Linked DNA regions of Anolis sagrei. The protein of the gene in region 3 purifies or fractionates together with the protein of the main gene of each other region. This does not show direct contact. Links are inferred from orthologs where the notes say so. Each region holds a gene or a part of one and is shown on either strand. Other genes may lie near its edges.

The links. The genes of interacting proteins can lie anywhere in the genome.
Region 1: the proteins of HNRNPC (region 3) and HNRNPD purify together in Homo sapiens (affinity purification with mass spectrometry; 3 studies listed by BioGRID and IntAct, with this or other methods). This does not show direct contact. The link is inferred for Anolis sagrei from reciprocal best matches to the Homo sapiens genes HNRNPC and HNRNPD.
Region 2: the proteins of HNRNPC (region 3) and SMARCA4 purify together in Homo sapiens (affinity purification with western blotting; 3 studies listed by BioGRID, with this or other methods). This does not show direct contact. The link is inferred for Anolis sagrei from reciprocal best matches to the Homo sapiens genes HNRNPC and SMARCA4.
Region 4: the proteins of HNRNPC (region 3) and SNW1 purify together in Homo sapiens (affinity purification with mass spectrometry; 3 studies listed by BioGRID and IntAct, with this or other methods). This does not show direct contact. The link is inferred for Anolis sagrei from reciprocal best matches to the Homo sapiens genes HNRNPC and SNW1.

What each region holds. Positions count from the first base shown.
Region 1 is NC_090025.1:17,071,982-17,079,613, forward strand, and holds the start of HNRNPD (heterogeneous nuclear ribonucleoprotein D0), read right to left. Parts: upstream 3,021-7,632; 5' UTR 2,807-3,020; coding exon 2,607-2,806; intron 1-2,606. UniProt on the Homo sapiens protein: Binds with high affinity to RNA molecules that contain AU-rich elements (AREs) found within the 3'-UTR of many proto-oncogenes and cytokine mRNAs.
Region 2 is NC_090022.1:171,359,181-171,367,201, forward strand, and holds the start of SMARCA4 (transcription activator BRG1), read left to right. Parts: upstream 1-5,001; 5' UTR 5,002-5,243; intron 5,244-5,294; exon of another isoform or gene 5,295-5,454; intron 5,455-8,021. UniProt on the Homo sapiens protein: ATPase involved in transcriptional activation and repression of select genes by chromatin remodeling (alteration of DNA-nucleosome topology).
Region 3 is NC_090026.1:11,146,087-11,153,164, forward strand, and holds the start of HNRNPC (heterogeneous nuclear ribonucleoproteins C1/C2), read left to right. Parts: upstream 1-4,063; 5' UTR 4,064-4,203; intron 4,204-7,078. UniProt on the Homo sapiens protein: Binds pre-mRNA and nucleates the assembly of 40S hnRNP particles. Interacts with poly-U tracts in the 3'-UTR or 5'-UTR of mRNA and modulates the stability and the level of translation of bound mRNA molecules. Single HNRNPC tetramers bind 230-240 nucleotides.
Region 4 is NC_090021.1:307,230,610-307,237,579, forward strand, and holds the start of SNW1 (SNW domain-containing protein 1), read right to left. Parts: upstream 3,021-6,970; 5' UTR 2,930-3,020; coding exon 2,916-2,929; intron 1-2,915. UniProt on the Homo sapiens protein: Involved in pre-mRNA splicing as component of the spliceosome. As a component of the minor spliceosome, involved in the splicing of U12-type introns in pre-mRNAs.

The DNA.
Region 1 (7,632 bases), on a different chromosome or scaffold from region 3:
CCTCTGGGCAGGTGGTGAATTTTTCTTCTCTAGGTACACTATTACATGCATACATACACACATACACACACACATATATGCACACACATTGAAGTATTAAGGGAAACCTAACCTAAAATAAAACTGTAACACTATTGGGGGATGGGGGAGGGGATGTAAAATCAATAGACACAAGTGGGAGATAAAGGTGGATTAGGCATGGGTAAGAACACTAAGAAAATGATATTTTATATGTATTCTGAAATGGTGATAAATTGTGATATTTTTCTACCTGCATGCAATAAAAAAAGTATTTTTAAAAAACTGTAACATTATTATATATGTATTTTATTTTTTTACTTTAAGTATTACAGTATGAATAATTTCCAACAATGGAATTAGTAATTAAAATATTAAGGCAAACTGAACTTACGGTAAAACTGCAACACTGTTATACATGTTTGTTTTTTTTACTTAAAAGTATTACAGTTTTGGGAAGAAATTGGGACAGTGGAATATGCTGCTGCCTGGGCGGGTGGTGAAATCTCCTTGCCTTGATATTCTATCTCATAGATAGATAGATAGATAAATACAAACTTAATTGAAATATTAAGGCAAACTTAACCTACAATAAAACTGTAACACTATTTTATATATATTTACGACATTTATATGCCACCCTTCTCACCCGGAAGGGGACTCAGAACGGCTTACAAGATATATATTTATACAATATATTATATTATTAGCATAGTACAATATCAGTATTAAATATTACTATGTTGTACTATACCATTATATTGTAATATTAGTAGCATTACATGTAATATAAATATATAATTATAGTATCATATAACTATTAGTATTATATTTCATTACATTATATTATAAATATATCTATATATAAGGTATTATATTACATTATATAATATTGTTAGTAATATTAAATTTAATATAAATATATAAATATAATACCATATTACTATTAGTATTATATTGCATTACATTATATTATAAATATTATATGTATATACAATATATTAATTATATAATATTGTCAGTAATATTAAATTTAATATAAATATACTATTATAATATCATATTACTATTAGTCTTATATTGCATTACAATATATTATAAATATTATAGGTATATACAAGATATATTAATTATATAATATTGTTAGTAATATTATATTACATTATTAGCATAGTACAATATCAGTATTAAATATTACTACATTGTACTATACCATTATATTGTAATATTACAATATAATTATATTGTAATATAAATATAATTTTATTATATATTACTATTGGTATTATATTGCATTACATTATTATATTAAAAATATATGTATATACATTACATTATTAACATAGTACAATATCAGTATAACATCTTACTATATTGTACTATACCATTATATTGTAGTATTAGTAATATTACATGTAATATAAATAAAATTTTATTATATATTACTATTAGTATTATATTGCATTACATTATAATATAAATATATGCATATACAATATATTATTTATTTATTTATTATTTACGACATTTATATGCTGCCCTTCTCATCCCGAAGGGGACTTAGAGCGGCTTACAAGGTATATATACATACAATATATTATTAACATAGTACAATATCAGTTTTAAATATTGCTATATTGCACTATATCAATTATACTGTAATATGATTAGTAATATCACATGTAATATAAATTTATAATTATGATATATTACTATGAGTATTATATTGCATTACATTATGTTATAAATATTATATGTATATACAATATATTATATTACATTATATAATATTAGTAAAAATTTACATTGTATATAAAATTACATGTATATACAATACATTATATTACATTACATATATATTATTTTATTAGCATGGTACAATATCAGTATTTTAATTTTTTACTTCGAGTATTACAGTCTGAGGAAGACCTGTGGGGGGAGGGGCCTCTCTCTCTCTCTCTCTGGGAGTTTTCAAAGCAGAAACTGGATGGCCATCTGTCGGGGGGGGGGGGGGGCTTTGATTGAGACTTTCTGCATGGCGGAAGGGAATGGGGAAGGGGGACTCAAAAATTTATTATTTGCTTTTAAGTTTATTGTGTATTATGTATGTTGTGTTGTTGGCGGCCTTGGACTTTGTGAGCCGCATCGAGTCCTTCGGGAGATTTTGCGGGGTATAAATAATGTTAATAATAATAATAATAATAATAATAATAATGGCCATCTGTCGGGGGGGGGGCTTTGATTGTGACTTCCTGCATGGCGGAAGGGAATGGGGAAGCGGGGGGAGGGGTGGGGCCTCTCTCTCTCTGGGAGTTTTCAAAGCAGAAACTGGATGGCCATCTGTCGGGGGGGCTTTGATTGTGACTTCCTGCATGGCGGAAGAGAATGGGGAAGCGGGGGGAGGGGTGGGGCCTCTCTCTCTCTGGGAGTTTTCAAAGCAGAAACTGGATAGCCATCTGTCGGGGGGGCTTTGATTGTGACTTCCTGCATGGCGGAAGGGAATGGGGGGAGGGGGACACACAGCACACACCACACACGCGTCGCGCACCCCCGTTTCCCAGGCCCGGTTCGGTTCGGTTGAAACATACCCAACGTACCCTTCATCCTCCTCATTCTTGCTGGCGTCGATTTTGGCGCCTTCGGATTCGCCGCCGCCCCCTCCGCCGCCGCCGCCTTCCGCGCCGTCCTCTTCGTCGTTCCCTCCGACCGCGACTCCCTCCAGCTGCTCAGCCTCCTCGTCAAAGGCCTCGGCAGCGCCTGCGTCGCCCATGAAGTCTTGGTCCGACATGTTGGGAGTTGAGGAGAAAGCGGGAGTCGGCAAAACGGGGAGGAAAGCCGGCTCAAACTGAAGCAGCCTCGCTCTCCTCTCTTTCTCTTCCTTTCTTTCTCTCTCTCACGCCTTCTCTCTTTCTCTCTCTGTCTCTCTCTTGCGCTTTAATGGCGCCGCCTCGCTGATCCCAACCTAAAATGGCGGACGGAAGGAATGCGGCGGCGGTGGTGGTGGCGTCGCGGTCACGTGCCCGGCGCCCTACTTACTGTCCCTCTCCCGCTCGCTGATTGGAGAACAAGGGAAAGCGCGCCCTGACGCGGTCTCCGATTGGTCGGGGGGAAGCGCGCGCTGGCCCGCTCCCTGATTGGCTAAGAGAAAGCGCGCCCTGACCCGCTCTCTGATTGGCCGAGGGGAAGAAACGGGGAGCAAGGAAAGATGACGCCTGTCTCGCGTGTTGGCCAAACATGGCGGCTTTCCCACTGATTTCTTGTGGGTTTTTTCGGGCTATATGGCCATGTTCTAGAGGCATTTCTCCTGACGTTTCGCCTGCATCTATGGCAGGCATCCTCAGAGGGTGAGGTCTGGAGCTGGGAAAAAAGGGGGGTTTATATATCTGTGGAAAGACCAGGGTGAGACAAAAGGCTACTGTAAGATGGGCTAGGTGTGAATCTTTTCAATTGACCACCTTGATTAGCATACAATGGGCTGACTGTGCCTGGAGCAAACTCTTAATGAAAGGTGATTAGATGTCCCTGCCTGTTTTTCTCTCTGCTGTTTTAATTTTAGAATTTTTTAATACTGGTAGCCAGACTTTGTTCATTTTCATGGTTTCTTCCTTTCTGTTGAAATTGTCCACATGTTTGTGGATTTCAATGGCTTCTCTGTGTAGCCTGACATGGTGGTTGTGAGAGTGGTCCAGCATTTTTGTGTTCTCAAATAGAATGCTGTGTCCAGGTTGGTTCATCAGGTGCTCTGCTATGGCTGATTTCTCTGGTTGGAGTAGTCTGCAGTGCCTTTCATGTTCCTTGATGCGTGTCTGGGCGCTGCGTTTGGTGGTCCCTATGTAGACTTGTCCACAGCTGCATGGTACACGGTAGACTCCTGCAGAGGTGAGAGGATCCCTCTTGTCCTTTGCTGAACGTAGCATTTGTTGAATTTTCTTGGTGGGTTTGTAGATTGTTTGTATGTTGTGTTTCCTCATCAGCTTCCCTATCCGGTCAGTGGTTCCCTTGATGTATGGCAGGGACACTTTTCCTCTGGGTGGATCTTCATCTTTATTCTTGTGGCTTGTTCTTGGTCTTGCAGCTCTTCTGATGTCTGAGGTGGAGTATCCATTGGCCTGTAGAGCCCAGTTGAGGTGGTTCAGTTCACCTTGGAGGAGGTGGGGTTCACAGATTCTTTTTGCACGGTCTGCCAAGGCTTTGATGGTGCTTCTTTTTTGACTTGGGTGATGGTTGGAGTTTTTATGTAGATATCTGTCTGTGTGTGTGGGTTTTCTGTAGACGGTGTGACCCAATTGTTGATCTGGTTTGCGGATGACTAGGACATCTAGAAAAGGCAGTCTTCCTTCCTTTTCTATTTCCATAGTGAACTGGATGTTAGGGTGGATGCTGTTAAGATGTTCCAGGAACCTGTTGAGTTCTTCTTCTCCATGGCTCCAAATGGTGAAAGTGTCATCCACATATCTGAACCATATAGTGGGCTTTTTGGTTGCTGTTTCAAGAGCTTGTTTTTCAAATTGTTCCATGTAGAAGTTAGCTATGACTGGGCTGAGAGGGCTCCCCATAGCTACTCCATCTTTCTGTTCGTAGAATTCATTGTCCCACTGAAAATAGCTGGTGGTGAGGCAATGGTGAAACAGCGCCGTGATGTCTTCTGGGAACCTCTGGAAATGTATTGTCGAAGCCTTCGACAATACATTTCCCACTGATTCTAGGCAAGGCCTGGGCCAACTTGGGCCCTCCCTCCAGGCTCTTTGGACTTCAACTCCCACAATTCATAGAATCAAAGAGTTGGAAGAAACCTCATGGGCCATCCAGTCCAACCCCATTCCGCCAAGAAGCAGGAATGTTGCATTCAAATCACCCCTGACAGATGGCCATCCAGCCTCTATTTAAAAGCTTCCAAAGAAGGAGCCTCCACCACACTCTGGGGCAGAGAGTTCCACTGCTGAACGGTTCTCACAGTCAGGAAGTTCTTCCTCGTGTTCAGATGGAATATCCTTTCTTGTAGTTTGAAGCCATTGTTCCGCGTCCTAGTCTCCAAGGAAGCAGAAAACAAGCTTGCTCCCTCCTCCTCCTCCCTGTGGCTTTCTCTCACATATTTATACATTCCTAATAGCCATAGTTTTAACTCCAAAACATGTGGAGGGCCCATGTTGGCCCAGGCATGGGCTAGAAACTATGGGGTTTTTTGTTTTTGTTTTTGTTTTTTTGTCGTGCCAGGAGCGACCTGAGAAACTGCAGGTCGCTTCTGGTGTGAGAGAATTGGCCATCTGCAAGGACATTGTCCAGGGGACGCCCGGATGATTTTTTGATGGGTTGTTGTAGGTTTTTCCGGGCTGTATGGCCATGTTCTAGATGCATTTTCTCCTCTTATATGGCCATGTTTTAGAGGCATTTTCTCCTCTTATATGGCCATGTTCTAGAGGCATTTTCTCCTCTTATATGGCCATGTTCTAGAGGCATTTTCTCCTCTTATATGGCCATGTTCTAGAGGCATTTTCTCCTCTTATATGGCCATGTTCTAGAGGCATTTTCTCCTCTTATATGGCCATGTTCTAGAGGCATTTTCTCCTCTTATATGGCCATGTTCTAGAGGCATTTTCTCCTCTTATATGGCCATGTTCTAGAGGCATTTTCTCTTATATGGCCATGTTCTAGAGGCATTTCTCCTCATATGGCCATGTTCTAGAGGCATTTCTCCTCTTATATGGCCATGTTCTAGAGGCATTTCTCCTCTTATGGCCATGTTCTAGAGGCATTTTTTGATGTTTTATCATCCTTGTGGCCGAAAGCGAGGAGGAGCTGAGGAGCCTTCTAATCAAGGTGAAAGAAGAAAGCACAAAAGCGGGGTTGCAGCTAAACATAAAAAAAAACCAAGATTATGGCAACAAGAATGATTGACAACAGGAAAATAGAGGGAGAAAATGTGGAGGCCGTGACAGACTTTGTATTTCTAGGCGCAAAGATTACTGCAGGTGCAGACTGTGGCCAGGAAATCAGAAGACGCTTACTTCTTGGGAGGAGAGCAGTGTCCACTCTCGATAAAATAGTAAAGAGTAGAGACATCAGACTGGCAACAAAGATCCGCCTAGTCAAAGCCATGGTATTCCCTGTAGTCACCTACAGATGTGAGAGCTGGACCTTATGGAAGGCTGAGCGAAGGAAGATCGATGCTTTTGAGCTGTGGTGTTGGAGGAAAGTGCTGAGAGTGCCTTGGACTGCGAGAAGATCCAACCAGTCCATCCTCCAGGAAATAAAGCCCGACTGCTCACTGGAGGGAAGGAGACTAGAGACAAAGTTGAAGTACTTTGGCCACATCATGAGGAGACAGCAAAGCCTAGAGAAGACAATTATGCTGGGGAAAGTGGAAGGCGAAAGGAAGAGGGGCCGACCAAGGACAAGATGGATGGATGGCATCCTTGAAGTGACTGGACTGACCTTGAAGGAGCTGGAGGTGGTGACGGCCGACAGGGAGCTCTGACGTGGGCTGGTCCATGAGGTCACGAAGAGTCGGAGACGACTGAACGAATGAACAACAAAAACATCCTTGTGGGAGGCTTCTCTCATATCCTCGCATGAGGAGCTAGAGCTGATAGCTCATCCGCCTCTCCCTGGATTCGAACCTGCAACCTGCCAACACAGGGGTTTAACCCACTGCGCTCCTATGATGAAAGACTGTTGGTGTCTCAGCAAAATATACCAAGCATCCCGAGCTCTGAGGATTACCAGGGAAGGAATCCCACTGGAGCATTGCAGCACACCAAAATATCTGGGAGTCACTCTGGACCGTGGATCCCCCGGTGGCGCAATTGGTTAAACCCCTGTGCCGGCAGGACTGAAGATCGACAGGTCACAGATTCGAATCCGGGGAGAGGCGGATGAGTCCCTTCTATCAGCTCCAGCTCCTCATGTGGGGACATGAGAGAAGCCTCCCACAAGGATGGTAAAATATCAAATCATCAGAGTGTTCCCTGGGCAACGTCCTTGCAGACGGCCAATTCTCTCACACCAGAAGCAACTTGCAGTTTCTCAGGTTGCTCCTGACACGAAAAAAAAAAACCTGTGGACCGTGCTCTGACCTACAAGAAGCACTGCCTGAATATCAAGCAAAAAGTGGGTGCTAGAAATAATATCATACGAAAGCTGACTGGCACAACCTGGGGATCACAACCAGACACAGTGAAAACATCTGCCCTTGTGCTATGCTACTCTGCTGCTGAGTATGCATGCCCAGTGTGGAACACATCTCACCACACTAAAACAGTAGGTGTGTCTCTTAATGAGACATGCCGCATTATCACGGGATCTCTGCGCCCTACACTACTGGAGAAATTATACTGCTTAGCCAGCATTGCACCACCTGACATCTGCCGGGAAGTAGCAGCCAATAGTGAAAGGACCAAGGCAGAGACATCTCCAGCTCATCCCTTATTTGGGTATCAGCCAGCACATCAACGACTTAAATCAAGAAATGGTTTTCTAAGATCTACAGAGACACTCGCTGGAACACCTCAGCAAGCAAGAGTCCAAAACTGGCAGTCTCAAACCCAACACCTCAACCAATGGCTGATATCAAATGAGAGACTCCCCCCTGAGCACACAGAGGACTGGGTGACTTGG
Region 2 (8,021 bases), on a different chromosome or scaffold from region 3:
GGTCAGAAGGCAACACCAGACTTCATAAAGGACTCCAGGTCCCTTCTGGGCATCGGTCTAAGGATGCCAGGTTTTTTTCTTATGCACAGTTCCCCTTAGCCACACTCCAAAATTTGTTTCTAAAACTTGCCAAGATAAATAAAAACAAAAGAACAAATAATAAATGTTGGAAATGTAAGAGAAAAGAAGGTATATATGGTGGTCTTGTCATAAAAACCACGTATATTAGACAACTGTTAAAGAAACAATCCAAATAATTTTGCAACAGAATATACCATCGTCACCAGAAATAGTTTTGTTGGGCTGGCAAATGATATCATCAATAAGAAAAATATGGTTTTCTTTCAATATGCCATAGCACAGGCATAGGCAAACACCTCCAGGTGTTTTGGACTTCAGCTCCCACAATTCCTGGTCTCAGGCCCCTTCATTTCCCCCCTCAGCTGTAGGTTCTGTGATGTTTTTTTTTCTCCCCTTTTTAATAGTTTGAGTTAATGTTTTCTGATTTTTTTGAAAACAAAATAAAAACTTATTTGCATTGAAAGCTATGCAACACTCGTTCAGTTCTGAAAGAAAAACATGGAGACATGGAGGTCCTTCACACTATGAGCTGCAGATCCAGTGTGGAGTGGTGGTGTGAGCGATGGACGGGTAGACTGCGTGGCTCGTATAACTCAGGGCGTGTTGAGGCCTGGTCTGAGGAGGAGGGGGATCCTTTGGAAGTGGGGCCTTGTGCTCCTGAATTGGAGCCTGATGTGGAGTCTGAATTGGAGCCCCCCATAACTCCGGGACTGCCAGTACAGTGAAAAGATGGATAAAACAAAGGGTTGTTGTAGGTATTTTTCCGGGCTGTATGGCCATGGTCTAGAGGCATTCTCTCCTGACGTTTCGCCTGCATCTATGGCAAGCATCCTCAGAGGTAGTGAGGTTTGTTGGAACTAGGAAAAAGGGTTTATATATCTGTGGAATGACCAGGGTGAGACAAAGGACTCTTTCCTGCTGGAGCTATTATTATTATTATTAACTTTATTTGTACCCCGCTAGCATCTCCCGAAGGACTCGATGCGGCTTATAAAGGACAAGCTCTCAAAACACAACATAACAATACACAACCAAGGTGTGAATGTTTCAACTGACCACCTTGATTAGCATACAATGGGCTGACTGTGCCTGGAGCAAACTTTTGTTGAGAGGTGATTAGATATGCCTGCTTGTTTCCTGATTGTTTACTCTCTGTTGTTGTGCTGTTGTAATTTTAGAGTTTTTAATACTGGTAGGCAGATTTTGTTCATTTTCATGGTTTCTTCCTTTCTGTTGAAATTGTCCACATGCTTGTGTATTTCAATGGCTTCTCTGTGTAGTCTGACATTGTGGTTGTTGGAGTGGTCCAGTATTTCTGTGTTCTCAGATAATATGCTGTGTCCAGGTTGGTTCATCAGGTGGCTGATTTCTCTGGTTGAAGTAGTCTGCAGTGCCTTTCCTGTTCCTTGATTCGTGTTTGGGCAATGCTGCATTTGGTGGTCCCAAATGCAGAGAACAAAATCAACCTCTGTACATGGCATTCATCGACCTTGCAAAGGCATTCGACACAGTGAATCGCAGCGCTCTCTGGACCATCCTCCAAAAAATCGGGTGCCCAAACAAATTTGTGAACATCCTGCGGCTCCTCCATGATGACATGATGGCAACAGTTTTGGACAGCAGTGGCTCCCAAAGTGACCCATTTAAGGTGGAATCGGGTGTCAAACAGGGATGTGTTATTGCCCCAACTCTATTCTCCATCTTCATCACTATGATACTTCACCTTGTTGACGGGAAGCTTCCCATTGGAGTGGAAATCATCTATCGGACAGATGGCAAGCTATTCAACCTCAGCAGACTGAAAGCCAAAACCAAGGTCACAACAACATCTCTTATAGAACTCCAGTATGCTGATGACAACGTCGTCTGTGCGCATTCAGAATAAGATCTACAAGCCACTCTAAACACCTTTGCAGAAGCATACGAGAAGCTCGGCTTGTCATTGAACATTGAAAAAACCAAGGTGCTTTTCCAGCAGGCACCAGCCAACCCCTCTCCAATGCCAGTGATACAGCTTAATGGTGTAACACTAGAAAATGTTGATCATTTCCGCTACCTTGGCAGCCACCTCTCCACCAAAGTCAACATCGACACCGAAATACGTCGCCTGAGCTCTGCAAGCGCAGCATTTTTCCGAATGAAGCAGAGAGTGTTCGAGGACCGGGACATCCGTAGGGATACCAAGGTGATTGTTTATAAAGCTATTGTCCTCCCAACCCTGCTCTATGCCTGTGAGACGTGGACTGTCTACAGACGTCACATGCAACTCCTGGAACGATTCCATCAGCGCTGCCTCCGAAAAATCCTGCAAATCTCTTGGGAAGACAAGCTGACAAATGTCAGCGTGCTGGAAGAAGCAAAGACCACCAGCATTGAAGCGATGGTCCTCCACCATCAGCTCCGCTGGACCGGCCATGTTGTCCGGATGCCTGACCACCGTCTCCCAAAGCAGTTGCTCTACTCCGAACTCAAGAACGGAAAACGGAATGTGGGTGGGCAGGAAAAGAGATTTAAAGATGGGCTCAAAGCCAACCTTAAAATCTCTGGCATAGACACTGAGAACTGGGAAGCCCTGGCCCTTGACCACTCCAGCTGGAGGTCAGCTGTGACCAGCAGTGCTGCAGAATTTGAGGAGGCACGAGTGGAGGGTGAAAAAGAGAAACGTGCCAAGAGGAAGGCGCGTCAAGCCAACCCCGGCCGAGACCGCCTTCTACCTGGAAACCAATGAAGAAGAAGAAGATGCAGAGCAAGAATAGGGCTCCACAGCCACATACGGACCCACAAGAATATTGGAAGACAATCATCCTCGGAAAGCGAGGGATCGCCTAAGTGAAAGTGAAGTAAGGTCCCTATGTAGACTTGTACACAGCTGCATGGTACCCGGTAGACTCCTGCAGAAGTGAGAGGATCCCTCTTGTCCTTTGCTGAACGTAGCATTTGTTGGATTTTCTTGGTGGGTTTGTAGATACTTTGTATGTTGTGTTTCCTCATCAGCTTCCCTATGCGGTCAGTGGTTCCCTTGATGTATATTTGTATGATCCCTCTTGTCCTTTGCTGAACGTAGCATTTTTTGGATTTTCTTGGTGGATCATACACAGAGGCGGCCCTAGGTACTTTTCAATGGTAAGCAAACAGTATCCCCCCCCCCCAACCAATCACTGATATATATTTTCTGTTCATCGTGGGACTTCTGTGTGCCATAATTGGTTCAATTCCATCATTGGTGGAGTTCAGAATGCTCTTTGATTGTAGGTGAACTATACATCCCAGTAACTACAACTCGCATATGTCAAGGTCTGTTTTTCCCCAAGAGTGCTTCAAGAGTGCCCCTGGGCAAAATCAACTATACTGCAAATGCTTACTTTGCGTAATGGGTTGAGACGCCCCTGATCATACACATTAAAATACAGTCAAGGTAACTTTGGTGGGCCTCGTCCTTGAGTGGCTGCATCTTTTCCTCAGTTTTGTGCCTTCCTGTGTGATATTTCTGTTATATGATATATGATATGTCATTTCCTTGTTGTTGTTCATTCGTTCAGTCGCTTCCGACTCTTCGTGACCTCATGGACCAGCCCATGCCAGAGCTCCCTGTCGGCCGTCACCACCCCCAGCTCCTTCAAGGTCAAGCCAGTCACTTCAAGGATGCCATCCTTCCATCTTGCCCTTGGTCGGCCCCTCTTCCTTTTTCCTTCCATTTCCCCCAGAATCATTGTCTTCTCTAAGTCATTTCCCTGAGGGAAAAATAAACCTCTCAAAAATGTGCACATCGCCTCAGAGAGGCCCCTAAAATGTTCCTTTCCTGAGCAGTCTGGTTTCACGGAAAGGATTCCCATTTCTGCACGTTTTGAGATGGGCCTAATTCTTATTTTGCCAAGAAATAAAAACATGGGTTGTTGTAGGTTTTTCGGGCTGTTTAAACAAAACATGAACACAGAGAGGTGTCAATGTCTTGTCAAAGGCTTTCATGGCTGGAATCACTGGGTTGTTGTAGGTTTTTTCGGGCTATATGGCCATGTTCTAGAGGCATTCTCTCCTGACATTTCGCCTGCATCTATGGCAAGCATCCTCAGAGGTAGTGAGGTCTGTTGGAACTAGGAAAAAGGGTTTATATATCTCCAGAAAGACCAGGGTGGGACGAAGTACAAGAGTCAACCCTTCTTTTTAAACAGAGGCTGGATGGCCATCTGTCGGGGGTTATTTGAATGCGATGTTCCTGCTTCTTGGCAGGGGGTTGGACTGGATGGCCCATGAGGTCTCTTCCAACTCTTTGATTCTATGATTCTTCCTAATGTCTTTTAAAGGGATTTACTTTGGTGTCACCATTGTCCTTTAATCTAATTTCAGAACACTTTTTGAAACATTTTCTTTCTAGGAAAATGGGTTTATATATCTGTGGAATGACTGTGGTGGGGCAAAGAGCTCTTCTCTGCTGGAGCTGGGTGTGAATGTTTCAATAGAGAGGTAAAATCCTCCCTTCAGAGCTCGTTGCCTGCCTCGCAAATCCCCCTTCCCCCAATATTCTCCTCAGCCGCAGTGGTGGCCGCAATGCGCATGCGCACCGACGCCGCGGCCGGCTGGTTGGGGGGATGGGCACAGCCCTCGCGCTGCCAAAGCGCGCTCCTTTGCCTCGCGAGGCGCGCCCCCGTACGACTGGGAAGCCCGCCCCTTTCTCTACGTCATTGGCTGAGGCAGAGACAAAAGAGGAGGAGAGACATATTTGCATTCAAAGAAGCATAACAGGCCGCGTCACTTATGGGCAGAGAAATAGCAAAGGCCGGTGTAGAAATGTAAAGCGTGTCGCTATTGGCTGTTAAGAGAAAGCCTCATTCTCTAGACTTCCCGCCCATCTTTTCTGATTGGCTGGCGCTCGGAGTCTGAGTCTAAGCGAAGGAGGCGGGCGTAACACCCTGAGTGAGGGTTGTGAAATCCGCTCTGATTGGTGCGTCGAGAGGGAGCCTCGTTGAGCCGGTTAAGGAACGCGCAAAAGAAAGAAAGGAAGAAAGAAAGCCTGTGGGGAGCGCGCCCACGCGAGCCCAGCAGGAGGCGCGCAGGCGAAGGGCGGGGGAGGAGGAGGAGGAGAGAGCATCTCTTTGAGAGACGCAGGCAGTCACCTTCTTCTTTGTTCGCCGTCCCCGCCCGCGCTGGAACTCCTGGGCCGCCCGGTAAGCGAAAGGGCGCCGCGGGAGGGGATGGGGAGGGTGGATTGCGCATGCGCGGGGATGGCTCGCTGAATGAATGAGTGCAAGCCCGTGTGGACGGACCTGGGAGAGGGCATCGCGGGTGGGAGCATCCCACCTGAAGAGGAGGAGGAGGAGGGGGCGGGGAGAATTGGAAGGAAGCAGAGCATCCTTAGCCGGAATCTCACCTTGGATGGTAAGAGGGTGAACGTGTGAATGCCTGTACCCGTGTCTTCCTATTCCCATCCTCCCCCTCCTCTTTTCTCCCCTTTTTATTGCTCTTATTTCAGCCTCTGAAATATATAATCAACTCATCCATCATCAACATCATTATTATTATAATATTGTGAATGTGAACATTGACATATTTTGACAACACTATGATTAAAAATATAATAATAACTAGCCGTCCCCTGCCACGCGTTGCTGTGGCCCACATCAGGGTTCTGTGGCCCAATTCTATCGTTGGTGGGGTTCAGAATGCTCTGCGATTGTAGGTGAACTATAAATCCCAGCAACTACAACTCCCAAATGTCAAGATTCTATTTTCCCCAAACTCCACCAGTGTTCCCATTTGGGCATATTGAGTATCTGTGCCAAGTTTGGTCCAGATCCATTATTGCTTGAGTGCTCTCTGGATGTAGGTGAACTACAAAGCCAAAACTGAAGGTCAATGGCCATCAAACTCTTCCAGCGTTTTCTGTTGGTCATGGGAGAACTGTGTGCCAAGTTTGGTTCAATTCCATTGTTGGTGGGGTTCAGAATGCTCTGCGATTGTAGGTGAACTATAAATCCCAGCAACTACAACTCCCGAATGTCAAGATTCTATTTTCCCCAAACTCCACCAGTGTTCACATTTGGGCATATTGAGTATCTGTGCCAAGTTTGGTCCAGATCCATCATTGCTTGAGTGCTCTCTGGATGTAGGTGAACTACAAAGCCAAAACTGAAGGTCAATGGCCATCAAACTCTTCCAGCGTTTTCTGTTGGTCATGGGAGAACTGTGTGCCAAGTTTGGTTCAATTCCATTGTTGGTGGGGTTCAGAATGCTCTGCGATTGTAGGTGAACTATAAATCCCAGCAACTACAACTCCCAAATGTCAAGATTCTATTTTCCCCAAACTCCACCAGTGTTCACATTTGGGTATATGGAGTATTCGTGTAGAGTTTGGTCCAGATCCATCATTGCTTGAGTGCTCTCTGGATGTAGGTGAACTACAAAGCCAAAACTGAAGGTCAATGGCCGTCAAATTCTTCCAGTATTTTCTGTTGGTCATGGGAGAACTGTGTGCCAAGTTTGGTTCAATTCCATCATCGATGGTGTTCAGAATGCCCTTTGATTGTAGGTGAACTACAAATCCCAGCAACTACAACTCCCAAATGACAAAATAAATTTTTTTGAGTGGAGAACATACATTGGGTTGTTAGGTGTATTGTGTCCAAATTTGGTGCCAATTGCCCCAGTGGTTTTTGTGTTCTGTGGATACCACAAACGAACATTACATTTTTATTTATATAGATTTGAGCCTCTGAAATATATACTCATCCATCATCAACATCATTATTATTTGGATTTTTAAAAAAGAAAATATAATATTCCGAATGTGAACATTGACATATTTTGACAACACTATGATTAAAAATATAATAATAACTAGCCATCCCCTGCCATGCGTTGCTGTGGCCCACATCAGGGTTCTGTGGCCCAATTCTATTGTTGGTGGAGTTCAGAATGCTCTTTGATTGTAGGTGAACTATAAATCCCAGCATCTACAGCTCCCAAATGTCAAGATTCTATTTTCCCCAAACTCCACCAGTGTTCACATTTGGGCATACTGAGTATTCATTTATTATTTATTTAAAACATTTATATTCTGCCCTTCTCGCCCCGAAGGGGACTCAGAGCGGAGCACAACATATACATGGCAAACATTCAATGCCTGGGTACAATACATAAACATTAAAAACATTTATCTAAATATTAAAATACACCATTTAAAATAACACAATTTAAAACCGTCCTAACCATCCGCATCAAATCCAATTGGCCCTGTCATCTTCATGTAGAGTTTGGTCCAGTTCCATCATTGTTTGAGTCCACAGTGACCTCTGGATGTAGGTGAACTACAACTCCAAAACCAAAGGACGCTGCCCACCAAACCTTTCCAGTATTTTCTGTTGGTCATGGGAGAACTGTGTGCCAAGTTTGGTTCAATTCCATCGTTGGTGGGGTTCAGAATGCTCTGTGATTGTAGGTGAACTATAAATCCCAGCAACTACAACTCCCAAATGTCAAGATTCTATTTTCCCCTACCTCCACCAGTGTTCACATTTGGGCATATTGAGTATTCATGTAGAGTTTGGTCCAGATTGAATTGAATACTTTATTTGTATACCGCTCTTCTCAGCCCTTAGGCGACTCAGAGCGCTTAACAACAGTTTCAGTATACACAATACAAAATCATTGGGCATTTAAAAGCAATAGCATCAGAAATCATTAAACATCAGCACCAATACATCAGTACATCAATACAACAAATATAACAAATCCATCAGGTCTCATCAATGAAATCAGAATCCAAACTCGTTATCCATTATTCCGTGTTCCGATAATCAATCACTCATCCAGATCCATCATTGTTTGAATCCACAGTGATCACTGGATGTAGTGAACTACAACTCCAAAACCAAAGGACACTGCTTTCCAAACCCTTCCAGTATTTTCTGTTAGTCATGGAAGAACAGTGTGCCAAGTTTGGTTCA
Region 3 (7,078 bases):
AGGATAAGCTTACTGGTTTCTGGAAACTTGATGCCGTCTGCTGTTGACTGGATATGAGATTATGACTCGGCATTTTAGTCTGTTTAATAGATTGTTACATGTTTTAATTGCTTATATGTTTAGATTGCTTATATTTTTATGAGATGTGTTTTATTGTTTATCTGTGTGGCACTGAATTTTTGCTGGATTTATAAGTCGCCTTGAGTCTGCTCCCAGGTTGAGAAAGGTGGGATAGAAATGAAGTCAATAAATAAATAATTGACATGAAATTTAATAAAGTCTCATTGTTTGATTTGAAAACTGCTGGCTGGTTTTTACGCCACCAAGGAAAGGGGTACGGGAGGAAAGAAATGGGGGCTGGGTTGGTGTTAATGGAGCTGATAGCTCTGTTCATGTCCATCTGGAACAGGACAATGGGTTTTGGTTGGCGATATAATGGGTGCCAGGGGTGTTGGCACAGCCTCAATGGGGTCCCCAGGGAGGGGATGTGATCTGGCGATTAGAATTGGAAAGATTTCACAGATGCATACTATTTTGGAAAATCCCTGTGAGTCTTCTTAAATCCATTATGAGATTCTCGAGCTAAATGGTGAGACTTTCCCTAGGGTTTATGTGTACCTGCTTGTCTAACTTTGACAAATTCATTCGGATGCCACCTGAAAGTAGGGGAAAGTTTCTGGGTACCCTCAGAGTCATGGGTTTTGGTTGTCCTGGCTTTCAATAACAGAACATTTAAGATTTGGGATATGCAGGTCAGGGATGTCAACCTGTATTACTCCCAGCATTCTATTGATTTTGATTATTGGTTTTCTCCTATTATTGAATCTGATAATCTTCTACCAAACCCTGCTGTTTCCAGCAAGCCTTTCCACTCTTGTATAACAGTCATTTTCACTATTCTGTTACCTGGAGGGCCCCATCTACACTGCCATATAATCCAGTATCCGATTCCAGATAATCTACTTTGAACTGGATTATATGGCAGTGTAGTTTCATATAATCGAGTTCAAAATGTATAATCAGATACTGGGTTATATGGCGGTGTAGATCCAGCCAAGGACCATATAAGATTTAGGCTGAATAGAAACTGCCATATAATCTACCGTATATTCTGGCGTATAAGACTACTTTTTAACCCAAGAAAATCTCAAAAGTCAAGGGTCGTCTTATACGCAGGAGTCATCTTATACGTGGGAATAGTATATGTGGGAGTTGTCTTATATGTGGGAGTAGTCTTATACGCTGGGAGTAGTCTTATAGAGTGGGTGCTGAAATTTCCAATCCGGATTGGAGAATCTGTGGTTGCTGCATAATTTGGGGGGAACTCAAAAATGGCAGTGGCCGTGTCCCTGCCGTATGCAGCCACTGTATGAAAGCATTAAGGGCGACGCTGTACATGTACAGTAGAAGAAAATCCATTCATCAGGTGTCAATCTGTTTGTGTATACATATACAGTGATATGTGCATGTTTGTACAGGGAAACATGTAGATACATGTTACAATACAAGGCGCTGAACAGATAATCTGTTCACGAGATGCAGAGCCAACCTTCAGAAATGGGGCCACAAAGTGGCATCCACGACATGCAAGTGTGGAGAAGAACAAACTACAGACCTGAAATGCAACCTGACCCCCGCCACATGCACAATGGAGGACCTTCTTGCAGCAACACCAGAGGCACTCCAAGTGGCCAGATACTAGTCAAAGAATAATTAATAGAATACCAAGCCTGCAAACTTTGTGTTTTGTTTGCAATACAACTGTTTTGGTTCGCTCCTAACATGATAAAAAATGTACAATATAAGGGCTTAGTTTTTATTGTATTCATTGTGTATTATTTGTTTTGTATTATTATTTTTATAAACTGTTGGATTAATTCATAAATGATTTCAATTAATTCATAAATGACCAGCTTTCAAATTTCAGGTGAAGGGCTTTTTTGGTCAAATGTATCAGGAAGGCCTGAGTTCAAAACTCCAAACAGCTGTGAAATGCAATAGTCACAGGGTGCATCTACATTGTAGAATTAATACAGTTTGGCATCACTTTAACTGCCATGGCTCCAATGCTATGAGATCCTGGGAATTGTAGTTTGATAATGCAGATAATGCTGGCATGGCTGTGTCTTTTCACCGAATGCAACCAACAATATAATGGCATCTTTAATACATACATACATATACTAGCTGTCCCCTGCCATGCGTTGCTGTGGCCCAGTCTGTTGATCTGGAAAATAAAGTAATGAGAAAGTGTTGGTTTCTAATATATGTAATTCTTTTATGTTTGTGAGTAAACAGTATTTCTTGTTGTTTCTTTGTCAGTGTTGATGTGGAGAGTGTCTGGTTTGCCTACTCTGGAATATGCAACATATCATTGTCCTTCTTTAAGGGTCTCTTTCAAATCTGTGATACTATATCTGTGTGTGTGTGAGAGAAAATCATATCTATCTATCTATATTTATGACTGGATGGCTCTTTGTCGGGAGGGCTCGGATTACATTTTCTTGCCCTGGTGAAGAGAGTTGGACTGGATGGCCTTAAGTATTTTCTGTTGGTCATGGGGGTTCTGTGTGGGAAGTTTGCCCCATTTCTGTTGTTTGTGGGTTTCAGAATGCTCTTTAATTGTAGTGAACTATAAATCCCAGTAACTACAAATCCCAAATGTCAAGGTCTATTTCCTTCAAACTCCATCTGTGTTCATATTTAGGCATATGGAATTTTTGTGTTAAGTTTGGTCCAGATCCATCATTGTTTGAGTCCACAGTGCTCTCTGGATGTAGGTGAACTACAACTCCCAAACTCAAGGTCAATGCCCACCACACCCTTCCAGTGTGTTCTGTTGGTCATGGAAGTCTGGTATGCCATGTTTGGTTCAATTCCATCGTTGGTGGAGTTCAGAATGCTCTTTAATTGTAGGTGAACTATAAATCCCAGCAACTACAACTCCCAAATGTCAAGGTCTATTTCCCTTAAATTCCATCTGTGTTCATATTTGGGCATATGGAATATTCGTGCCAAGTTTGGTCCAGATCCATCATTGTTTGAGTCCACAGTGCTCTCTGGATGTGGGTGAACTACAATTCCCAAACTCAAGGTCAATGTCCACCAAACCCTTCCAGTTTTTTTCTGTTGGTCATGGGAGCCCTGTGTGCTAAGTTTGGCCCAATTCCATCATTGGTGGAGTTCAGAATACTGTTTGATTGTAGGTAAACTATAAATCCCAGCAACGACAATTCCCAAATGACAAAATCATTTTTTTTCTGAGTGGAGGACATAAATTGGACTGTTAGGTGTCTTGTGTCCAAATTTGGTGTCAATTCCCCCAGTGGTTTTTGAGTTCTGATGGTAGCACAAACTAACATTACATTTTTATTTATATAGATATATCTTTATTAAGTATTTACAAAGCACAAAAGCATTTTTTTTAAACCATGAGTATAAAAGAAAGGCTAAAGACCTTGTAAATGCTAAAGACCTTGTAAAACTACACCTCTCTAGTGTGTGTGTGTTTTTCAAACTTGAGCTCTACCAGCTGTCCAATCACGAGCTGAAGCTTCGATGACGTCATTCGCCCAGTGCCCAAAGGAAATAGAGGCTTGCCCCAAGGGACCCGGATGTACGTCAAGCTGCCTTTTAAAAAAATGGTAAACCTTTACGCTGATACTATTGGTTAGTATTTTAACCAATCAAGAGGGACTATTAGGACATAGGCGGGGAGAAAATAGGCGGCAGATGAGGGCAATCATTGCAAGGCATTATTGCGAAAGTGACAACCAAATTATCCAATCGGAATGAGAGCTCTTTTGAGCGACAGAACTCTTAGCCTATTGGATTCTAAGGACCCGCCTTTCCGACAGAACTCTTAGCCTATTGGATTCTAAGGACCCGCCTTTCGCTTTGCAAATCTCTCCGGATTCCTCCTGATTGTTATTCGCACTGTCCCCGTTTACTTCACCATCGGCGCGGATATGATTGGCCGTCGGTTTGATTGACAGCGAAAGCGACCAATGAGGTGGTGGGAAACGCCAACGTGAGGAGGCGAAACGTGAAAAAGAGGGCGTGGCTATGCTGCGCGGCGCAGAGGTGGAGGGCGGCGGGGACGCCATTTTGTGAACCATCCGAAGCGTGGATGTGGGAAACGTACCTGGTGCGAAAGACTGAAAGCTGTATATTACCAAATAAAGCGGCGGCGGCTTCGAGTCGGTGAGTTCGTGGCTCGGGAAAAGAAGCGCGGAGGGGGGCGGGGCCTGGAGGCTAAGAATGGTATCGCCCTTTCTAACCCGCCCCCCCCCCCTTTCAGCACCAACTTGGTATGCCCCATGTCAGCTCCCCCCCTTTCGAATGTTCCAACGTTGCACCCCTACTCTGTACAAATGGTACGTTCCGTTCTCATTCGTTCCAATGGCTTCTGGGAGATACCATAGCGCGGGAAAAGGGGGAGCGGGTGGGAATGAAAGAAAATGGATCCTTCTTCGATTTGAGCTGGAGGAGAATAAGAGGTTTCGAACGTTGCACCCCCGCTCTGTACAAATGGTACGTTCCATTCTCATTCGTTCCAATGGCTTCTGGGAGATACCATAGTGCGGGAAAGGGAGGGCGGGTGGGAATGAAAGAAAATGGATCCTTCTTCGCTTTGAGCTGGAGGTGGATGAGAGATTGGTGTTTTCAATTGGATTAGGAAAGAAATGGCATCACTGTTCATTACTCTGAGCGCAAAGGAGGCCCAAAGGTGTTTATACCACATCCTATGCAGTATCTTAATCCGGATTATGACACTAACACAGGCATAGTGTTTCTGCGGGATTGGATTTGGCAGAGTATATAATCATAGAGTTGGAAGAGATATCATGGGCCATCCAGTCCAACCCCATTCTGCCAAGAAGCAGGAAAATTGCATTCAAAGCACCCCCAACAGATGGCCATCCAGCCTCTGTTCTAGAAGCATTCTCTCCTGACGTTTCGCCTACATCTGTAGCAAGCATCCTCAGAGATTGTGAAGTTTGTTAGAAACTAGGAAAATTGGGTATATATATCTGTGGAAGACCCAGGGTGGGAGAAAGAACTCTTGTCTGTTGGAGCTAGGTGTGAGTGTTTCAGTTGGCCACCTTGATTAGCATTTGATGGCCTAGAATCATAGAGTTAGGGCTTCCAGTCCAACTCCCTGCCTAGAAGCAGGAATATTGCATTCAAAGCACCCCCGACAGATGGCCATCCAGCCTCAGTTTAAAAGCTTCCAAAGAAGGAGCCTCCACCACACTCCGGGGCAGAGAGTTCCACTGCTGAACGGCTCTCACAGACATAGAATCATAGAGTTGGAAGAGACCTCATGGGCCATCCAGTCCAACCCCCTGCCAAGAAGCAGGAATATTGCATTCAAAGCACCCCCGACAGATGGCCATCCAGCCTCTGTTCTAGAAGCATTCTCTCCTAACGTTTCGCCTACATCTGTAGCAAGCATCCTCAGAGATTGTGAAGTTTGTTAGAAACTAGGAAAATTGGGTATATATATCTGTGGAATATCCAGGGTGGGAGAAAGAACTCTTGTTTGTTGGAGCTAGGTGTGAGTGTTTCAATTGGCCACCTTGATTAGTATTTGATGGCCTAGAATCATAGAGTTGTGGCTTCCAGTCCAACTCCCTGCCAAAAAGCAGGAAAATTGTATTCAAAGCACCCCCGACAGATGGCCATCCAGCCTCTGTTTTAAAAGCTTCCAAAGAAGGAGCCTCCACCACACTCCGGGGCAGAGAGTTCCACTGCTGAATGGCTCACACAGTCATAGAATCACAGAGTTGGAAGAGATCTCATAGGCCATCCAGTCCAACCCCCTGCAAAGAAACAGGAATATTGCATTCAGAACACCCCTGACAGATGGCCATCCAGCCTCTGTTTAAAAGCTTCCAAAGAAGGAGCCCCCACCTCACTCTGGGGCAGAGAGTTCCACTGCTGAATGGCTCTCACAGTCAGGAAATTCTTCCTAGTGTTCAGATGGAATCTCCTCTCTTGTAGTTTGAAGCCATTGTTCCGTGTCCTAGTCTCCAGGGAAATAAAAAACAAGCTTGCTCCCTCCTCCCTGTGGCTTCCTCTCACGTATTTATACATGGCTATCATATCTCCTCTCAGCTTTTGCTTCTGCAGGCTAAACATGCCCAGCTCTTTAAGCCGCTCCTTATAGGGCTTGTTCTCCAGACCCTTGATCATTTTAGTCGCCCTTCTCTGGACACAGCTTCAAGTGTGGGGCCCAGAATTGGACACAATATTCCAGGTGTGGTCTAACCAAGGCAGAATAGAGCATGGGTAGTATGACTTCCCTAGATCTAGACACTAGTAAGGAAGTTCTCCCTAATGTTCCGATGGAATCTCTTTTCATGCATAAATCAACAGGCAATTTGAGGATGATTTGTTCCCAAGTAATAAAGATCTTGAAGTGGTCAGATGCTGTTCAGAAATTAGAAGTATCCTTATTCTTGGGTGAATATATTTGTGTCACATAGTCCTGCTAGGTTGTTGCAGCAATAAATAAAATGCCTGATAGGACCTTTAAGCCCAGTGCATCCTGCCTAAATTTGCGTGAAAGTAATCCTCACTAAATTCAGTGCAAGCTGATATCAGTTGCAGTAAGATTCAAGAGGATGGACCAGGAATGATTACGCAATAATAAATCTCCTAAGAGTTAAAAAATGCCACTGTGTAGCTTTTTCTCCCTCTCCATCACATTCCTTAATACAGTTTGAGCATCCTTTATTTGAAATTTTGAAATACTCAAAAATGGTCCATGTTGATGACTGAAATAGTGCCATGTTTGCTTTCGGATTGTTCACTGGATAAACACTTTGTTTGATGGATAAAAATATTTAAGGATGTTGCGTATAAAATTACCTTCAAGCTATAAGGTGTTTATGCTACAGAAGAGAACTTTGGGTTTGTGTTCCATTGTCAATGTATATCGAATCTGAAATGTTTCTAGGTCTTAACATCTTGGGTATAGGATACCCAGCCTTTAAAGAAAAGCAAAGAACTAGTTCCAAGATTTGGTATGATCCATTATTCTTCTTGTTCCTTTATGTAATCTTGAGTGATC
Region 4 (6,970 bases), on a different chromosome or scaffold from region 3:
TTCAGAAAAGGCATTTTGCTTGACTTCTAGATATACAGGAAAAAATGGATGAGCAGAAAGTGCTCTCTTCAGACTGGTTTTTCAGGGCCATGTACTGTCCTTATGGACATGACCTGTGACTATTACTAGCGTCTACACTCATAGATTCTTGTGGGTAACACACCCTACAGAAAAAGTGGCTCCCTTGAAACCATTACTGCAGAGCTGGTATTGAACAGGGAGATAAGTTCCACATCTTAGGACTGTATTTCTGACGTAATCTTTTTACCTTTAGACTGCGACTCTGGAGACCTGGGTTTGAATCCCTACACATCCATGGCAGCACACTGGCTGACCTTGGTTAAGCCCCTCTCTCAACCTTTGAGGAAGTCAAAGGCAAATCCCATCTGAACAAATCTAGTCAAAAACACCCTTGCTTGGATCACCTTAGGGATGCCACAAGCCAGCAATAGTTTTGGCACCTTGAAGAGAAAGTGAGACAACTGTCCTCTCTAAAGATGAGGACAAGAAAGAACTGACAATGAGTTTCCAAGGGGGCATCTACACTGGAGAACTGATGCACTTTGGCACCACTTTAGCTCCCACAGCTCAGTGCTAAGGAATCCTGGGAGTTGTATTTTCAGCTATCTGTGCCAAATTGCAAATCCCAGAAGTCAACTGCCTTCTTAGGATGCCTCTACACCAGACATGGGATAACTTTGGCCCTTGAGGTGTTTTGAACTTCAGTTCTCATCAATGAACACCATAAAGCAGGCATGGGTGAACTTCACCCCTCCAGGTGTTTTGGACTTCAAGTCCCACAAATCCTAACACTCTAGGCTGTTAGAAATTGTGAGAGTTGAAGTCCAAAACACCTGGAAGACCAAAGTTTGCCCATGCCTGCTCCACGCTGTGGGAATAATGCAGTTTGACACCACTTTTGTTGCCATGGGTCAATGTTAACAAAAGAAATTGTGCGATGTGTTGTTTGATGAGGCAAAGGCGAAGAAAATCTTGTAGAACTACAAGACACACTGGACGAAAGCATTCATATTGTGGCCCTCAGAGGCCCCTTCCACACTGCGCCTAGATCCCAAGGGAACCACTTTTTCTGTAGGGTGTGTTACCCACATGAATCTATGAGTGTAGGTGCTAGTAATAGTCACAGGTCATGTCCATAAGGACAGTACATGGCCCTGAAAAACCAGCCTGAAGAGAGCGCTTTCTGCTCATCCATTTTTCCTGTATATCTGGAAGTCCTGTTTAAGGAGCTCCATTGGCTGCTGTTCATTTCCTGGTCCCAATTCAAGGTGCAGGTGCTCACCTACAAAGCCCTAAAAGGTTTGGGACCCGCCTACCTGCGTGACCGCATCTCCATATATGAACCCACACGATCCCTCCGTTCATCTGGAGAGGCCCTGCTCACGATTCCACCTGCGTCGCAAGCACGTTTGGTGGGGACGAGGGACAGGGCCTTCTCTGTGGTAGCCCCCCCCCCCGACTCTGGAACTCTCTCCCCAAGGACATCAGACAAGCCCCAACGTTGGCAGTCTTTAGGAAGAGCTTGAAGACCTGGCTGTTCCAGTGTGCCTTTCCAGAATAGAAAACTCCCAGCATCATGTCCCAAGCACACTTTACCAGAGATGATTGCCTGTACATCGCACCTAACCTAAAATCCTTACATTTCACCTGTCATGTCCAGCACTTTTAATTTATTCATTACATTTGGCCCGGCCCTAGTTTTAATTGTGTCATGATGTATTGTTTGATGTTTTACTGTTATTGCTTTAATGTTTATTGGTTTGCTTTATGAGTTTTATTGTTGCATTTGTTATGCTGTTGTTTTATTGAGGGCCTTGGCCTTTGTAAGCCGCACCGAGTCCTTCGGGAGATGTTAGCGGGGTACAAATAAAGTTAATAATAATAATAAGTCAGGCAAAATACCTTTTCTGATCCTAGATTATCTGCTTTAAACTGGGTTATATGAGTCTCCACTGCAAGATAATCTAGGATCAGATCCTGCAATATTGGGGTGGTGTGTTGTTGTTCATTCGTTCAGTCGTCTCCAACTCTTCGTGACCTCATGGACCAGCCTACGCCAGAGCTCCCTGTCGGCCGTCACCACCCCCAGCTCCTTCAAGGTCAGTCCAGTCACTTCAAGGATGCCATCCATCCATCTTGTCCTTGGTCAGCCCCTCTTCCTTTTGCCTTCCACTTTCCCCAGCATAATTGTCTTCTCTAGGCTTTCCTGTCTCCTCATGATGTGGCCAAAGTACTTCAACTTTGTCTCTAGTATCCTTCCCTCCAATGAGCATTCGGGCTTTATTTCCTGGAGGATGGACTGATTGGATCTTCTCGCAGTCCAAGGCACTCTCAGCACTTTCCTCCAGCACCTCCAGGAGGAGGAAAGTGGGGTGGTGTGGAAGGGGCCAAAGAGGCCAAGCAAGGCATGGGCTAACTTCCGCCCTCCAGGTGTTCTGGACAGCTGTTAGGAATTATGGGAGTTGAAGTCTAAAACATGGGGGGGGGGGCAAAGTTTGCCCATGCCAACCCAACCCCACTTCAGGTTACAACTGGAACCATTTCAGGTTACAATTTCACAATGGCCCCCTGCCTATCTTTACTGAACACCAAGGCCTTCCCTTCTTTGTTTCTGGAGGGCCAGCCTCCCACGCAAACAAGACAATTTTTCACTTTAGGAAGCGGTCTGAAATAATGAAAGGCCGCCCACTAGAATACTATTAATACCGACTTTTAGGGGAGAATGCCCGTTGCGGCCTAGGCCTCCCTCGAGGCTTTTCCCCTCCACCGAAACCCGCTCACACTCCACGGAAATCAATTACAACCAGAGACTTTCCCGTAAAAGGCTCAGGGAACGGGGTGGCTATCGGCTTCCAATTTCTGATAAGCTCCCGCTTCGCAGCGACAAAACTCACCTGGTCAGCGCCATCTTGCCGCTCTCCTTCTTCCTCCACCTTTGAGGGCCGGGCGCTGAACGAGAAGCCTCGACGGAACTGGCCCGGAAGCCAGGGGCATGCTGGGAATTGTAGTGTTACAGGCGGAGAGGAACGCTCGCGACATGTTTGCGCATGCGCCGCCCTCAGAGCGGGATGTGGTGGCTTGAAGGAGCAGAACAACAACTGGATTCAACACTCAGTTTGGTACAGAGTGGAACTTATTAGCCAAACATTCAGACTCAAGTGGCAAGATTTAAATGATCAGCAAGGAAAGAAAGCCTTTATAAGGACCATTTTGGAGTATGGAAGATATGGATTACTATGACAGTAATGAGAATGGATGTTGCCAACAGATGGAAACAAGTAGATGGGCCCAAAGGATTGCTTAGACCAGGCCTGGGCAAACTTGGGCCTTCCAGACGTTTTGGACTTCAACTCCCACAATTCCTAACAGCCTCAGGCCCTCAAGGAAGGCCCAAGTTTGCCCGGGCCTGGTTGTTAGGAATTGTGGGAGTTGAAGTCCAAAACGCCTGGAAGGCCCAAGTTTGCCCAGGCCTGGTTGAGACGCTTGTATTTTACATTCTCTGCAGTATAGATTGTGTATCTCTTATTGTGCAGGTACAACTGCACCAGGAGCTCCAATTTTGTTTGCTTTCCATTTAATGTTTGTTATAGTTCCAAGTTTCAGGGACTCTGCAGATTTGTTGTTCAGTCGTTCAGTCATCTCCGACTCTTCGTGACCTCATGGACCAGCCCACGCCAGAGCTCCCTGTCGGCCGTCACCACCCCCAGCTCCTTCAAGGTCAGTCCAGTCACTTCAAGGATCCATCCATCTTGCCCTTGGTTGGCCCCTCTTCCTTTTACTTTCCACTTTCCCCAGCATAATTGTCTTCTCTAGGCTTTGCTGTCTCCTCATGATGTGGCCAAAGTACTTCAACTTTGTCTCTAATATCCTTCCCTCCAATGAGCAGTCAAGCTTTATTTCCTGGAGGATTGATTGGTTGGATCTTCTCGCAGTCCAAGGCACTCTCAGAACTCTCCTCCAACACCACAGTTCAAAAGCATTGATCCTCCTTCGCTCAGCCCTCCCCAAGGTCCAGCTCTCACATCCGTAGGTTACTACAGGGAATACCATGGCTTTGACTATGCGGATCTTTGTTGCCAGTCTGATGTCTCTACTCTTTATTATTTTATCGAAACTGGACATTGCTCTCCTCCCAAGAAGTAAGCGTCTTCTGATTTCCTGGCCACAGTCTGTATCTGCAATAATCTTTGCGCCTAGAAATACAAAGTCTGTCACGGCCTCCACATTTTCTCCCTCTATTTTCCAGTTGTCAATCATTCTTGTTTTGTTTCATTTGCACCTTATATACGTATCTTAAAGGTAATTTTATACACAACTCAAAGAACCACTGGTGGGTTAAACCGCTGAGCTGCTGAACTTGTTAACCGAATGGTCGTAGGTTCGAATCCAGGAAGTGGTGTGAGCTCTTGCTGTTAGCCCCAGCTTCTGCCAACCTAGCAAAAAAGGGTGGCTTTTTCAGTTCAAAACCCCTTCAATTAATTTAAGTTGGATAGTGCAGGGTATGTGTGCCACGTTTGGTCCAAATCTATCAAGCCATGTAGGAGCCTTTGTGGTACAAACCAACTAGCCAACATCCATACACAGACACACACACACACGATTAGATAAATAGGAGCCCTCAGTGGCAAAGCAGGTTAAACTGCTGAGCTGCTGAACCTGCTGATCAAAAATTAAGTTCAAATTCGAGGAGCAGGGTGAGCTCCCACTGTTAGCTCCAGCTTCTGCCAATCTAATAGTTCGAAAACATGCAAATATGCGTAGATCAATAGGTACCACTTCGACTGGAAGGTAACGGCACTCCATACAGTCATGCCAGCCACATGACCCTGGAGGTGTCTATGGACAACACTGGCTCTTCGGCTTAGAAATGGAGATGAGCACCACCCCTCAGAGTTGGACATAACTAGACCTAATGTCAGGGGAAAACCTTTACCTTTACCTAGGGTATATACATGGCACTGCCTGAGTTTGCATTTTCTTTTGTGGCTCTTTTCTTCCTTTCCTTAATACACAGTATTTCTTTGTTTCTTTCCTTCTTCCCATGCTTTTCCTTAAAATATCTACCTCCTCTTCTTTTTCTGTACTCTGCCTTTCTTTTTCTCCCCTTCCCTCACTTCTTTTGTTCCTTTTCCCTTTTTTTCTTTCCTTTTTTTTCTTTCTTCCATCCCTTTCCCCATTTCTTCTCCCATCTTTTGTCCTTCCTTTTGTTGGAAATGACAGTTTTCTTCAAGCCTTCTCTAGTAATGTTTATCAATGATCCTGTTGTTTCCTGTTTCCTGTATGTATGCTCTGGTATGCAGCTTCCTTTACTCTATGGTTCCTGAGAAGTTATAAGAGGGGCTGCAGACCACAGGCTCTCTTCCTCTCCTTTTTGACTACTATGTGACCTGTTGACAGTTATTTTTGTTACAAGAGAGATGCCCTGGTTGACTGGCACAGGGAACCATCTCAGACATATCTGAAACTGGACTGATAAGTTTTATCGCTATGTATGCTGAACACATGAATGTTGTGAGTAAACCAAATATGTTATTTTATCAAATAATAATAATAAACCTTTATTTGTATACCGCTCTATCTCCCCAAGGGGACTCAGGGCGGTTTCCATCATGGTAAAGCATTGCAATTACCAACATAAAAACATACAGAAGGGCATTATAAAAAGTATAAACATAGTACTATATAACAATCGTACATATTTAAAATTTAAAAGCCAGTTCAGTACTAATTACAGCGGACAGCTCAGCTTCCAAAGGCCAAGATTCCAAAGTGGGCCTCGACAACTATTTTTCTTATATTGCTGAGATAAAAGGAAAGCTGGTCTGTGATTATTTCTTCTGCTGAGGTAAAATGAAAGCTGTTTTGTGATAGGTTATTTCTTTTACTGCTGAGGCAAAAGGAAAGCTGTACAGCAATTGGTTGCTAGAGCTTAGATTTCATTTCTTATACTGCTGAGGTAAAATAAAAGTTAGGCTGTGAGTGGTTGATTTGGGCATCACAGATTCCTTTGTCTACTCCCGGACTACTTGTTTTACTCTAAATACACGTGTGTATTCAAATGCAACATTGTGTCAAAATTTCATTTTACTCTAAAAACACGTGCGTATTGGAATGTAACCTTGTGTCGAAATGTCAAGTCAATCGGCCGACTACTTTTTGAGTTTTGCGAGCTCAAACATCTGCAGGCTGAGATTTTATATATAAAGACTTTATAAAATTTTGTAATGAATATTGTACATAAAGGCACATTTAGGAAATTAAGCGAATGCTGATCTCTGTGTTACTACATATTTTGTTCACTGTAATTGCTTACAAATAAACTGGTTGTAGAAAATTTGCATAATTTTCCAGAATATCTTTTCACTAGGAAACTGGACCGTGAACCTTTTCCCAAGGCAGGGATGTGCATAACAGGCTTATTAGTCCCTAGAACAGTGGTTCTCAACCTGGGGTCCCTAGATGTTTTTGTCCTACAACCCCCAGAAATCCCAGCCTGTTTGACAGATTTTAGGATTTCTGGGAGTTGAAGGCCAAAAACATCTGGGGACCCCAGGTTGAGAGCCACTGCCCTAGAACTAGTGTATCTCCATTGACAGTGTTACTGCTCAGTAAAATTCTCTTTTTCGTGGTGTTTTCTTCTAGAGAATATATTTAAACTTTTTCAGAATCTGTTTATCATTATCGTAATTACACCAGTGTGGCTTTAGAAAAGAAATCAGCTCTATCTTCCTGGAATGGTGATGTTTGTCATTATTTTTCTTTCTAGTGATAGGGAGGCCTGAGTTAGAAGCCAGCTGTACAGGAAGCTTCGGCTTTCGCACCTGCAAATGTTTTCCCTTGTCATCAACACTTCCATTGTTCCTAATGAGCCCATTTATCCTTGATTATTGACAGTGGTGGCAGAGAAGATTTTGGAAATATCACAGCTTATTGAGAATGTTGATACTTG